Linked DNA regions of Mus musculus. The protein of the gene in region 3 interacts with the protein of the main gene of each other region in a pairwise test. Links are inferred from orthologs where the notes say so. Each region holds a gene or a part of one and is shown on either strand. Other genes may lie near its edges.

The links.
Region 1: the proteins of Atn1 (region 3) and Leng8 interact in a two-hybrid assay, tested with the Homo sapiens proteins (2 studies listed by BioGRID and IntAct). The link is inferred for Mus musculus from reciprocal best matches to the Homo sapiens genes ATN1 and LENG8.
Region 2: the proteins of Atn1 (region 3) and Wwp1 interact in a two-hybrid assay, tested with the Homo sapiens proteins (2 studies listed by BioGRID and IntAct). The link is inferred for Mus musculus from reciprocal best matches to the Homo sapiens genes ATN1 and WWP1.

What each region holds. Positions count from the first base shown.
Region 1 is NC_000073.6:4,140,380-4,144,026, reverse strand, and holds part of Leng8 (leukocyte receptor cluster member 8 homolog), read right to left. Parts: intron 3,005-3,647; coding exon 2,894-3,004; intron 1,996-2,893; coding exon 1,743-1,995; intron 1,531-1,742; coding exon 1,389-1,530; intron 1,194-1,388; coding exon 990-1,193; intron 609-989; coding exon 330-608; intron 240-329; coding exon 99-239; intron 1-98.
Region 2 is NC_000070.6:19,635,904-19,639,550, forward strand, and holds part of Wwp1 (NEDD4-like E3 ubiquitin-protein ligase WWP1), read right to left. Parts: intron 2,948-3,647; coding exon 2,872-2,947; intron 2,774-2,871; coding exon 2,702-2,773; intron 1-2,701. UniProt on the Homo sapiens protein: E3 ubiquitin-protein ligase which accepts ubiquitin from an E2 ubiquitin-conjugating enzyme in the form of a thioester and then directly transfers the ubiquitin to targeted substrates.
Region 3 is NC_000072.6:124,753,671-124,757,954, forward strand, and holds the start of Atn1 (atrophin-1), read right to left. Parts: upstream 2,818-4,284; 5' UTR 2,626-2,817; intron 1-2,625. UniProt on the Homo sapiens protein: Transcriptional corepressor. Recruits NR2E1 to repress transcription. Promotes vascular smooth cell (VSMC) migration and orientation. Corepressor of MTG8 transcriptional repression.

The DNA.
Region 1 (3,647 bases), on a different chromosome or scaffold from region 3:
TCAATGTCTTTAGCCACTCTGAAGGCCATCTCCCCCACCTGTGAGACCCAATACCACCCACCCATGCCTAGGAAGAAATCACACCCTAAGCACCTCACCTCTTTCCACGCTGCGCCCTGCCCCGACCTCGATCCATGTGGGCCCCTCGACCACCCCGACCCTTGGGGGGTGGGTTCCTGCGGCCTACAGGGTGGCACTCATTCCCTGAGTAGGAGCTGTCAGAGTCTGAATGGGAGTCACTGCACAGGAAAGAGAAGTCAGGCCTGAAGCACAAGGGTCAGGCTCCACGCAGTTCCCCCCCAGCGCCCTTCCAGCCCAAGCCTGCACACCTTCTCCGAAAGTGTCTCGTGGGAGACCTGGATGAGGAGCGGGAGCGTGAATCCGTGCTGGAGGAAGAGCTGTTATCCTTCATGAAGACGTTGCGGTTGCCGAACTTGGTGAAGCTGCTACCCCGAGCTCGGCCAGCACCCCCAGCCCCAGGTGTCCCTCGCTGGGATTGGGCACCCCCGCCCCTGGTCACCGAGCCTGCCCCCCTGGAAGGGTGAAGGCTGCTAGGGGCCTCCCACCGCTTCTTCTTGGGGCTCTCAGCCACAGGCTCCCTGGTCAGCCTGAGGATATAGTAGGGCAGGGCATTACCAACCAGCCACCAACCTGCAGTTCTGCAGACCCCACCCCATGGCCCAGGGCCACCAAACCTGAGAAAGCAGAGGCACTTACCCCGGCAACTCAGCCACTGTGGTGCAGGAAAGGGACCAAGCCCAAGATTGTCTGTGTCCAGGGGATGCTCTTAGCCATCAAGCCACCCATACCTCCCTAGTAATCCCTTCCCACTTCCCAAAACCCATCCTTGGTCACTCCTGGCCTCCTGCCCACCCCATGGGGACCTGAGATACAGGTGTCAGCTTTTGGGACCACTTGTCTCTGAACCTGCTAGTTTTGAGATCCATGTCCCCAGCCCATATCTGTTTCACAGTGTCACCCAGACTGACCCAGGCAGAGGCTCTCGGCTCCAGTCGATGGTGTAGGCAGAGCCATCCTGGAGCCGGGCCTGTAGCACCTCCTTGAGCAGTTTCTCTGTCCGGTCCTTGTCCTCTTCTGACTCGCAGGCGGTGAAACACCGTTCCACATATTCCTTCATATCCTGAGGCCAATCATCTGGCTTCCCAGACAGGTTTCCCCGGCCAGAAGGTCCACTGTGGGGTGGGGGATAGACGAAGGCACTCAGGTGGGAGGACCCACACGTGTCAGCAGAACTCCCTCTGTGATCTGAGAAGGCAGCCTTGTTCTGTACATTTCCCCACTCCCTTCACCCCACGAAGCACTAAGAGTGGTGTCTAAAGAGGCCCTGGAGCACAGAGCACGGGCGTGCGGGTCAGGGTAACAGTCACCTGCGGTTCTGAGTGTTCTCCGAGTTGGGCTGGGGCCCAAAGCTGCTGTGTTGGCCCTCTGAATTGGAGCTGAAGCTCTGGCTGGTGACAGCAAAGGGCCGCTTCTGGATGTTAAATTTTAGACCCCCAGTCCCAGGGGCTGCTGTGGGAGGATAGCAGAGACAGGAGTTAGGCCCTTCCCCAGACAGTTAAATAGGCTAAGCTCTGGAACAAGTTCCTAACATGAGCATACCTGTTCTAGAACAATCTTCCCCTAGACTAGGGCACATAACACCCGGACAAAGGACTAGCAACCCTGTGTGGCTCACAGCCAAGCTCCAACCCTCTGACTTCCCCACAGATACACTAACTTACGTTTCATGCGGGTCCATAACTGCTGACCCTTCTTAGGTTTGGCAGGCTCGCTGTAGCTGTGTGGCCCATATGCCTGCCCTGTAGGAGCCCCGGCCTGACTGTGCTGAGTGCTTGGGGCTGTCCCAGGCTGAGGGCCGTTGCTTAGACTATGTGTCCCATGTTGTGAGTTTGAGGGCTGAGGGGGCTGAGCTGCAGGTAGCTGCTGAGGGGAAGCCTGGTAGGCCATACTCTCATCCATGCCAGGGACTGGAGGCTGCAAGAAGAAGCAGAGGATGAAAGAAGCAGGCAGCATCCTGGTGCTGAGTCACATGGTATTCAGTCTTTATAGTCATCTTCTTTAGCACTCAGTGCTACAACATTTTGTGGGTTGCCATAATGTGTGCTCAGTGACTCCCTGGGGTATGTATTTTCACTAGCAGCTCATTTCACAACTGAGAAGATTAAGCCTCAAGGGACTGAACAACTTTCCACAGCCCAGCTGTCAAGGAGCAGCTACCAGCAATGCCAACACTGGGTTGTGACTCTACCACACTGATGACACATCTACTAAGGTTCCCTCTCTTGAGCACATCAACACACAGGACAACACATCTGCCCAATCCCTATGAGAAGATTGCATCCTCTCGATTCTTAAGAGCCACCAAGGTATGGTAGTCATGTGACTCAAGAGGTCCACAGAAGAGGCAAAGCACGGATTCAAACCTAGGTCAATGTACTTCCCACGATCTGGGCTCTTCCACTCCTCTAGGCTGTGCCAGATGCAAAGGCAGCACGTTGGGTAGGTACAGGTGTGCATGCACCATCTGCTGTGTATGTGTATGTGGGGGGGGGGGAGGGGGAGGAAGCAGGGGAGGACTTCCTCCTGAATACAGGCTGAGTGCACATGCTGGAGGAAAAGGGAGAAGACAGACCGCCAAACTACAAACTATCCCCACTATCTTCCCAGTACTACAGCCCCCTGGCCTTGCCCAGCCTCAAGCCCATTCATCCTACTTTTAAAAGCTAAGCTTTTAAATTAGGAGCCTCTTGGCAAGAAAGAACAAAGAGGAAGGGAGGGGGCAGCTTTGAAATCATGCAGACTAATGGTTCTAAGTCCTCTCGAGACCCAGGCTCTCTCCCAGCTGACCAGGAGCAGCGAGGCACAGCATTACCTGGTTCAGAGTCCCTTGGTGCTGGGGAGCCGATGGCTGCTGGGCTGTAGCTGAGCCGTAGGAGCTGGCCATCCCATACTGGGAGGGGGAGCCATAGCTCTGGTACATGCTCTGCCAAGGCACAGGGGGAGCCAGAGTTAGTGGAGGCTGCTCATCATGCCTTTGGCCTCCCTTGGAACTGTGTACAACTCCAGAGGCTTTGGGCCCCAGGCCCTTTTTTCCACCACACAATGAAGTAATCATGTATTCTCATAAATGAATGAATGAATGAAAGAAAAAGTAGTAATCACAAACAAAAATCTCTTCATTCCACTTATATCATACCCAGAGTTCTTCTTAATAGGTAGTGAGAAACACTAAGTGCCAACACTTTTAAATGCTATGATAAAGTGATAGGGGCAACAGCTCATCCCTTTAATCACAGGACTTGGGCATGGGGCAGAGGCAGGTAGATTTCTGTGGAATTTTGAATAAGCCTGATCTATACAGTGAGTTCCAAGCCAACCAGAACTACATAGTGAAACATTGTCTTAAAAAATCAACAACACCTCCCAAACAACAACAACACAAACAAACAAACAAAAAAGACAAGCTAGTTGTGGTGGTGTACATTCAGGCAACTGAGGCAGAAGAGAAGCCTAAAGTCAACTTGGGCTATATAGAGAACCGTGACTCAAAAAGAAAAGCAAAAACCCAGATTTTAATAAAGTCTACACACAGCTATGGGGTAAGTAGGTAATGTACTCCAGTAAGT
Region 2 (3,647 bases), on a different chromosome or scaffold from region 3:
CAATTATGCTCTCAATCTATATCTGAATCTCTTATCTCAGCCCCATATCTGAACAGACTTAAGACAGAAAAAGTAAAATAACGACTAACATAAATTTAGATACACACTTGCTAAAGTAATTCAAATATAGCTCTGAACAAGCCATGTGTAATACACTTGGAAACTTGAAACAATCATTTGGCTCAGAATTAGTCATACACAAGCAGTTTTGATAATAGCTGCATCGACTATCTTTTGTAAAGTTTAACAGCTAGTAAAATGAGGCTATGTTATAAAAGTCTCTAGACCTTCAGTATTACTATTCCATTTTAACCTGTAAAAAGGACAGACAAACAAAAAGAACAATAGCAACCAGCATTGCACAACAACTCTAAAGTAACAATCTGTAATTAGACCCAAGTCCACCTCAACAAGAGGTTCATCATGCCTGATACTGGAAACCTAGCCAACTTCCCAGAGCTGAGAAAGTCAGAGAGCTTGAAGGAGAGCTTATAACCACCACTTTACTAAACCAGCATCATCTCCAACTACATTCTGAACATTTGCCCTCATACCCACAGATGTGTAGTTTTCATCCCTCATCGAACACTTCCTCCCTCCACACTCTCCCATATACTCCACCTGGCTTCTTTTCAAATTTACGGCCTCTTTTTCATTAATTGTTGTTACTTGTGTGTGTGTGTGTGTGTGTGTGTGTGTGTGTGTGTGTGTATTCCTTTTACATGTTATTCTGTATGTTTCGTCTGTATAATGTTACTACTATGCATATGTTTTTGTGGCTGGACATTTGGTTTTAGATAGCCAATATGTCTTATCTTAAAATATAATTGTGGAATCCAGTCCCAACTGATCTATCTACAAAACATCTCCCATAGCTAAGACTCAGAGACCACTGCAGAAAAGTGGCTGAAAGATTTTAAGAGCCAGAGGATCAGGGAGTTTGGTATAAGATTGTTACTCCTAAGAATGATAGAAGCTACTCCATAAAGTCTCACCAACATGATTGCCTAACCATGAGTTAAAACAAGGAGAATACCAAGGGACATGCTAAGATGGACAGGAGAAGGTTCCCAAGGCCTCAACCCTATATAAAGAATTAAAGGCAACTAAGGGATGCTGAGGTCAGAAGAAGAAATCCTCCCTAAGGAAGAGCACACCAGCTGGCTAACACCAAATGGCAAGGCATAAAAACATAAATTCTAGTAACATTATACAGAAATAGAAATTATGCTTATGCGTTTATGTATTAGGGACATAAATAAATATTTATACACACACACACATGTAACACCAATTAGTGAAAAAAAGAGGCCATAAATTTGAAAGGGAGTCAGAGGGGTATATGGAAGAGTGTGAGGGGAAGAAATGTAAGGGGGAAATGATGGAACTTTATTTTAAGTTCAAGAATAAAAAAATAATTACAATTTAATGAAACATATTTAAGTATTAAGAAAGTTATAGTCATTGCATTGGAAGACAGTGAAAGGTCACGAAAAATTCTCCATTTCACCATAAAAAAATGATGTTATTGTTTTTAAAAATATTCTGCAAATGACTCCAGAAAGGCAGACATGTTACAGTCACATATTCAAGTATTTCCTGAATAACTGTTATACTAAAAGCACTCTTCTAGGTACTGGACAGAGGTGAAGTAAACCAATAATCCATGCTCTCATGCAGCACACATTCCAGGAAAGGAGACAGAGAGGAATGGTGTGATGAAACTGATGAAGGCTCATGAATGGCTAGAAAGAAGCCATGTCGGGGAGGAAGGCAGGCTGTCATTGTAGACAACATGCTCATCTTGATCACGGCTCAGTGAAGCCTAGATGTCAGATGAGCATAAGAGTTACTGATGGAATAGTCAATGGATACACAATCTACCAATTTGATTTGATTTGTTAAAACTTGACTTTCACAAGCTTTACTGTTTGAAGTAATAAAATCCTAACAAAGTAAGTGTCAAAACAGACTTGTTCCAAATGCTGTTTAAATTTTATTTTAAATACACCTAAAATTTTCATTTCTTCTCTTTCCTGTTCCTTTCTTTTCTTTACCCATCCTCCCCCTGCCTCTTTCTTTCCTTCTTAGTTTTTAATATAGACTTTCACGATGTAGCCTTACGTGGCTAAGAATTCACCTGTCTGTGCCTCTAGAATGCTGATTAAAGGCATGTGATATGACAGCCAGCTACACCTAAATTTTTGGTGGAAGGACTGTCTCTCAGTGTGGCACCCTTGTCTATAAAATGGAGACAATGGTAGGCAATGAAACTCTGCCCCTGTTTTGCAGTGTCCTCTGAGTCTTGGGTATAGAATTTTGTAGATATAGCAGTCACGACTGGACTCCACGAGGATATATCTTAAGATTATATTAGACATCTTAGCTATTGAACACCAAATGACCATCACCACAGAGATGCTGTGATGAGGAAAGAAAAGCATCAAAAAATTGTCAATAATTGGTCAATAGTTATGACTTAATACGTTGTGAAGTTTCCTTTTATTTTAGGTATATGAATGGTTTGCCTCCGTGTATGCCTCCGGCCCACATAACAGTTTCATATAATTATTAATATAGTCACTCAGGGAATGAGGGTTACTATAAATGCTTAAAGAATCAAAAACTTTTAACTCTCTTTAGAAATTCAGAATAAAATGAGACAAAAAGTACTGTTTCATTCTGATAATATCTTCCTTACCTGTTGGAAGGAATCTTCAAATAATGTCTGTCGGGACACATTGATCTTTACATGACTCGGTAGTGCATTAGACTAAAACCAAAAACATGATATTATGTAAGCCACAGCATATGTATTACATAATGATCAGGCTAATGATTATAAATGAGATTTATTTACCACTGTAGTACCTGGCACAAGTAACGGAAGTGAGCAAGCTTCCACCTAAAGCTGCGTTCATAAGCAATCTGTGGACCACCTTTAGTTCTAAAGAGAAACAAAATAAATACAACTATAATATTCAGTATGAATCAAAGTACACTAGATCATTATATGACTAAAGAAAGTTATTTGCTGTTAATAAGTACAGGTCTATCTGCTAGGACAGTGGTGGCCTGCGTCATGAAGGTTGCCACTGCAGCAGGACACGTGTACAGAGGGAGACCACAATTAGGGTAGGTTTATCAGTAAGCCTCCAGTTTACTGAAGTCCTGAGCTCTACTATAGATTCCTTAAAAGAACCTTTGATAGCACTTAAAGCTCAGTAAGTCAGAGATTCCAATAAGGGAAGCTTGGGTGGGGGTGGGGTCTGTCCCTCGACTTAAACCTGACCTGTACAAAGACAAAGAAAGTCAAAATTAAAATCCTTGGAGCGAGTTCTATACACATCATGTGACTTAACTGGACAACAAGATAAGAGGCAGATACAACATGCAGCTCAGAATGCTTCTCCTGCCTAGAAAGAGGCTTAACAGATGGGAATAAAGCATTCTCATGCCAGAGTGAACACAAAAATGTTGCCCTCTGTTGTCACATTCAGGGGAGTTCACTCATCCAAGAACATTTACCAAAGCGTAACAGGGACCTGATGTTTTTCCAGACAATGAAAGCATTATTTACTAATAACATGGAAGAAGTGACAGTTTTGTGTAACATATGCACCAATGAACAAGCAAACTACATATTG
Region 3 (4,284 bases):
TCCTGGGATCGGCAGAAGAAGGAATGGAACTGGGAAGAGGTTGGGGTCAGATCGTAGGTTAAGTCTAACACAGGTACAGTGGGACTCTAAAACCAACTGGCCACGTGGCGCTTCATCTTGCCTGTCTAACACTTAGACACTTAGAAGGCTGTCTCTGTCTAACACTTAGAAGCACCTACCATGTACAACAACACACATTTGCCCTCATCACCTTATGGCAAAAAGAAAGCAAGGAAGACCAAAACTTGGAAGGCAGGGAAATAAGAAATCAGAAAAGAGTCCATGGGTAGGCAGAGGGAAGAAAACTAAGAGAAGTGGGTGTGGGTCAGAGGTGAGATTCCGAGAAGGCCTGGGTTAGATCCCCAGCACCTTATAAAACAGGGTGTGGTCCAGGCCTGCAATCTCAGGACTGCAAATAGAGGGAAACTCAAGGTCATTTCCTTAGGCAGTGAGTTCAAGGACAGTTTTGGCTAAAAGCCCATCTCAAAAACAACAAACAGAGATTACTACTAAAACCAATGACCTGAGTTGGACCATGGAACCCACATGGTAGAAGAGAACCAACTCAAGTCACGCTCTGACCTGCACATGTGCACTGTAGCACACACACAAAATAAATACATACGTATAATTAAATTTTTAAAAAGTAAGGAGCAAATATGACAGGAATGTCAGAAAATGACCATGTCACAGACTTCCTGGGAAGAGCTTACAAGATGTATTCCAGGATCACCAACCACCCCAAATCCATTCTAGACCTGCCACATTAACAATCAGGTGAAAATGACCAAGACATCCATAAAGCACAGAGGAGCAGATAATGCAGCCTGGTTAGAACCCAGGTCTGTTGCAGGAACTAGAGGCCATCTCATCACACCAAGAAGGTGAAGCGCAAAGACAAGAGAAGTGACTTGCCCAAGGTCACAGAGGGACATCGGTCTCCCAGCCCCCATTCCAGAGCATCCTGCTCTGCTCTAACCTCTCTCATAGCCATCGCCCCTGGGCCACCCTCACCCAGACAGGCATGGAGAGCTACGCTACATTTGTAGGTTCAGAAAAAAAGGCCAAAGATCAGTTGAATGAAAGGGTCACCCTGAGAACTGACAAAGAAGGAAGAGAGACCCAAAGAGGAATTCAAGGAGATAAAGTAGTTTAAAGAGTCAACCATTTATAAGACAATAAGAGTGGTAGAGGCCGACAGAAATTGCCCGCGGTGATGTAACTTGGTTGTTTTTTTTTTATTTTGTTTTTGGTTCTGGAGCTCAAACCCAGGGCCTATTGTATGCATGCTAGGAAATAACACTGCTACTGAGCTACCCCCAGCCCAAGACAATATAGTTTGAACAACAACATTTTCATCTTCGCACCATACCCAGGTAGAGGCTTGCAGGAATGACCTGCAAGCAACAGGGTTACTTGTTCCAATAGACTTCTGGAGGAGAAGGGATGCCTCCTTAGGAAACCCTACTTGGGGCAACACCAGAAACATCTCCCGGAGACCCACCAAGGACAAAGCTACAGGCTGAGAGAGGCCCAATCTACATACTGAATCCCCACCTATTGGACTTCCCACTGTCTCACTACCATGGCAACAAAATGGATAAAAAAAAAAAGTGCCCCCCAAGAGACCATCCCAGGGGTCCATCTGGCAGCCACTATTACCACCTTAGTTGCCAGAGCAACTCCAACCTTTCAGGAAAGGGAGCTTTAGGGTAACCTACCCCAGGCACAAAGAGATCTCTGAGATCAAGGCAGTAAGGAAGTCCTCCTATGGGACAGCCAATGCTCTGGGGGTGAGGGTGGAGGTCACAATTCCTTGGAATGCCTATATGATTGCCCAATCTTCTCTTCTTTCCCATCCTCCCAACCTTCCCAATTCTCCCTTCAGTATCCCTGCCTTTCTTATTCGTGTTAGGAGGACTCACACTACCAAGACTCAGTGCCCCCCCTTCACGAAGTAACTAGGTCTGGGATTAGGAAAACGGGGTCAGAGGTGACCAGGATTGGGGGAAAGAAAACTGAGTCACAAAAGATATGGCCTTCCCATTTCCACCCCAAAAAACGTCGGTCTTCTCAAAGCTGGGCCTCTCCCGGTTCATCTCCATTCCCCCCAGGTTCAATCCCCCGTCTCGGCAGCTACAACCCTCATTTTACCACCTACCACACCCCTTTCCCTGTTCCCAAGACCCGCAACCTGGAAACCCGGTGCTGGGCCTGTGGGGTTACTGGAGCCTTCACGCCCCACCTCGCTGCCATCTCTCCGATCCGTCCTGCCTTCTCCGCGAACCACCCGCACAGCATCCCCCGGTTTACCTCCGCCAAGTCTCCACCTCGGCGTTCCTCCCCTTTAGGCTCTGGTCCTGGCGACGCTCGGCCCCGTCAGCCCTCCTCCCAAAACCCTCCTCCCCCCACCTCCCGAGCTCGCGACTCCCAGGCCCGCGTCCCTCCTCCGGGCGGCCCCACCCCCTGAGTCCCCAGCCTCGGGCCCGGTCGTGCCCGCAATGAGGGAACGCGACCGGGAAAATAACAAATGGAGGCGGCGGCGGGAGGGGGGACCGGGAGGGGTGGGGGCGGGGAGCCGCGGGCCGGAACGGGGCGGCCCGGGCCGGCGGCAGCGGACCTTACCTGCGAGCAGCTCGGGACGGCTGGCTGGCTGCGAGTGCGGTCGGGCTCCGGCGCCTCCCGGGGACGGCGGCGGCCACTCCCCGCCCCTCCTTACAGCGCGGCTTCAGTCGCTGCCGCGGCGGCGGCGGCGGCGGCCCCGGCCCCCCCGGAGGGCGGCCCCCATGCCCGGCTCCCCGCGCAGCCCCGATCGGCTTCTCGCGCTCCTCGCCCGCCCTCCCGCCCGGAACGCGCCGCCCGCGCCCGCCCCCGCCGCACCGCCCGCCTCCGCCCGCACTCGCGGTCCCGGCGAGGCCCGCGACCCCCGACCCTCCCGCCGCTGGTGCCGCGCGCCCCTAGCCCGCCCCGAGGCCTGCCACCCCGAAACGCGTCCTGGCCCGAGGCCCCGGTCGGGCGCGGGGCTGCGGGCGGACGGACAGGCTGGGCGGCGCGTCCGGCGACTCGCACAGGAAAGCGGACGGCGGAGGGAGGGCGCTCGGGAGAGGGGGATGGGAGCAGGGAGGAAGAGGGAGAAGGAGGGAGCGCGGAGGAACGGAGGAGAGAGAGGGGCCCGGAGGAGACGCGAGGGAGGGAGCGCGCGGCAGTCGGGGGGCGGAGGATCGGGGAAGGGGAGGCGCCGGGCGAGTTGGCCGAAGCCGGCCGGGGCGCAGAGAGAGAGGGCCTCGCTGCGCAGAGCGTGGGGAGCTCGCGGGCCCCGCGCGGGAGAGGGCTGGGTGGGAGGGGCTGTGGACTGCGAAGGCAGACCTGGGGAGGCTGGAGAAGTTTGGGGACAAGAGGGGCTGTGGCAGGGGTGAAGTAGGTGGAGTTTGGGGAATTATGAAGTAGAGATTTGGATAATGGGACTGTATTGGAAAGATGGAGAGGAAGGGCCAGAAGTAGAGGCTGGAGGGGTTTAGGAGCTATTTTGGAGAGCCTACGATGGAAGTTTGTGGACCTGGGCGGGAAAGGATGAAGACGTACTAGGAGAATGGTGTTTCTGGAAGAGATAAGCGTTTAAGGCAGTGATTGGTGTTGAGAAGAATGCAAACCACAAGAATTTGGGAATGATGAAGGAAAGCTGGAGGCAAGTCCGGAGATCCCTCTGTGGGAGAGAAGGCATGAGAAGTCTCAGAAGAGGGGTGGAGGGCAGAGGATGCCTATTCTAGAGGGAGACTGGGGTGGGCTGGGTTGGTAAACATGAATGTGGGGACTTCCAATCGAACTAAGAACTATTTCCTTTGGCAAATAAAGTGGAGGAGAATGAATTAGAGAGGTCTGGAAGGAAACACAAGATAAATAGGGCTTTTGTGGCAACGTGGTGGGAGGGCCAGTGATGGGAAAAGAGAGGAGCTAGAGACGGAGGGAGAACCCTGGAGGAGTGACAGACTGGGGTCCAGGCCCTAGTGTGGAAGAGGTAACTAAGAGGTGGCACTTCACTTTTGGGCCCTTCATTTTCTCGAGGTTCCTGAACTAGACCTTCTCAAGTCTGAAGTCATTACTAGTAGCATCTTTGGTCATGGTCACAGAAGGGATGAAGTGGGGGATTAGGTGGAAAGGACCTACATACATTTTAGGGTGCCCAGGTTCCCCATAACAATTGTAATATGGAAGTAGTCCCCAGCACAGACTACAGCATGCTCCTCCCAACTCTTCTCCAGTCAGCGTGCCAGCCATGCCCAACCT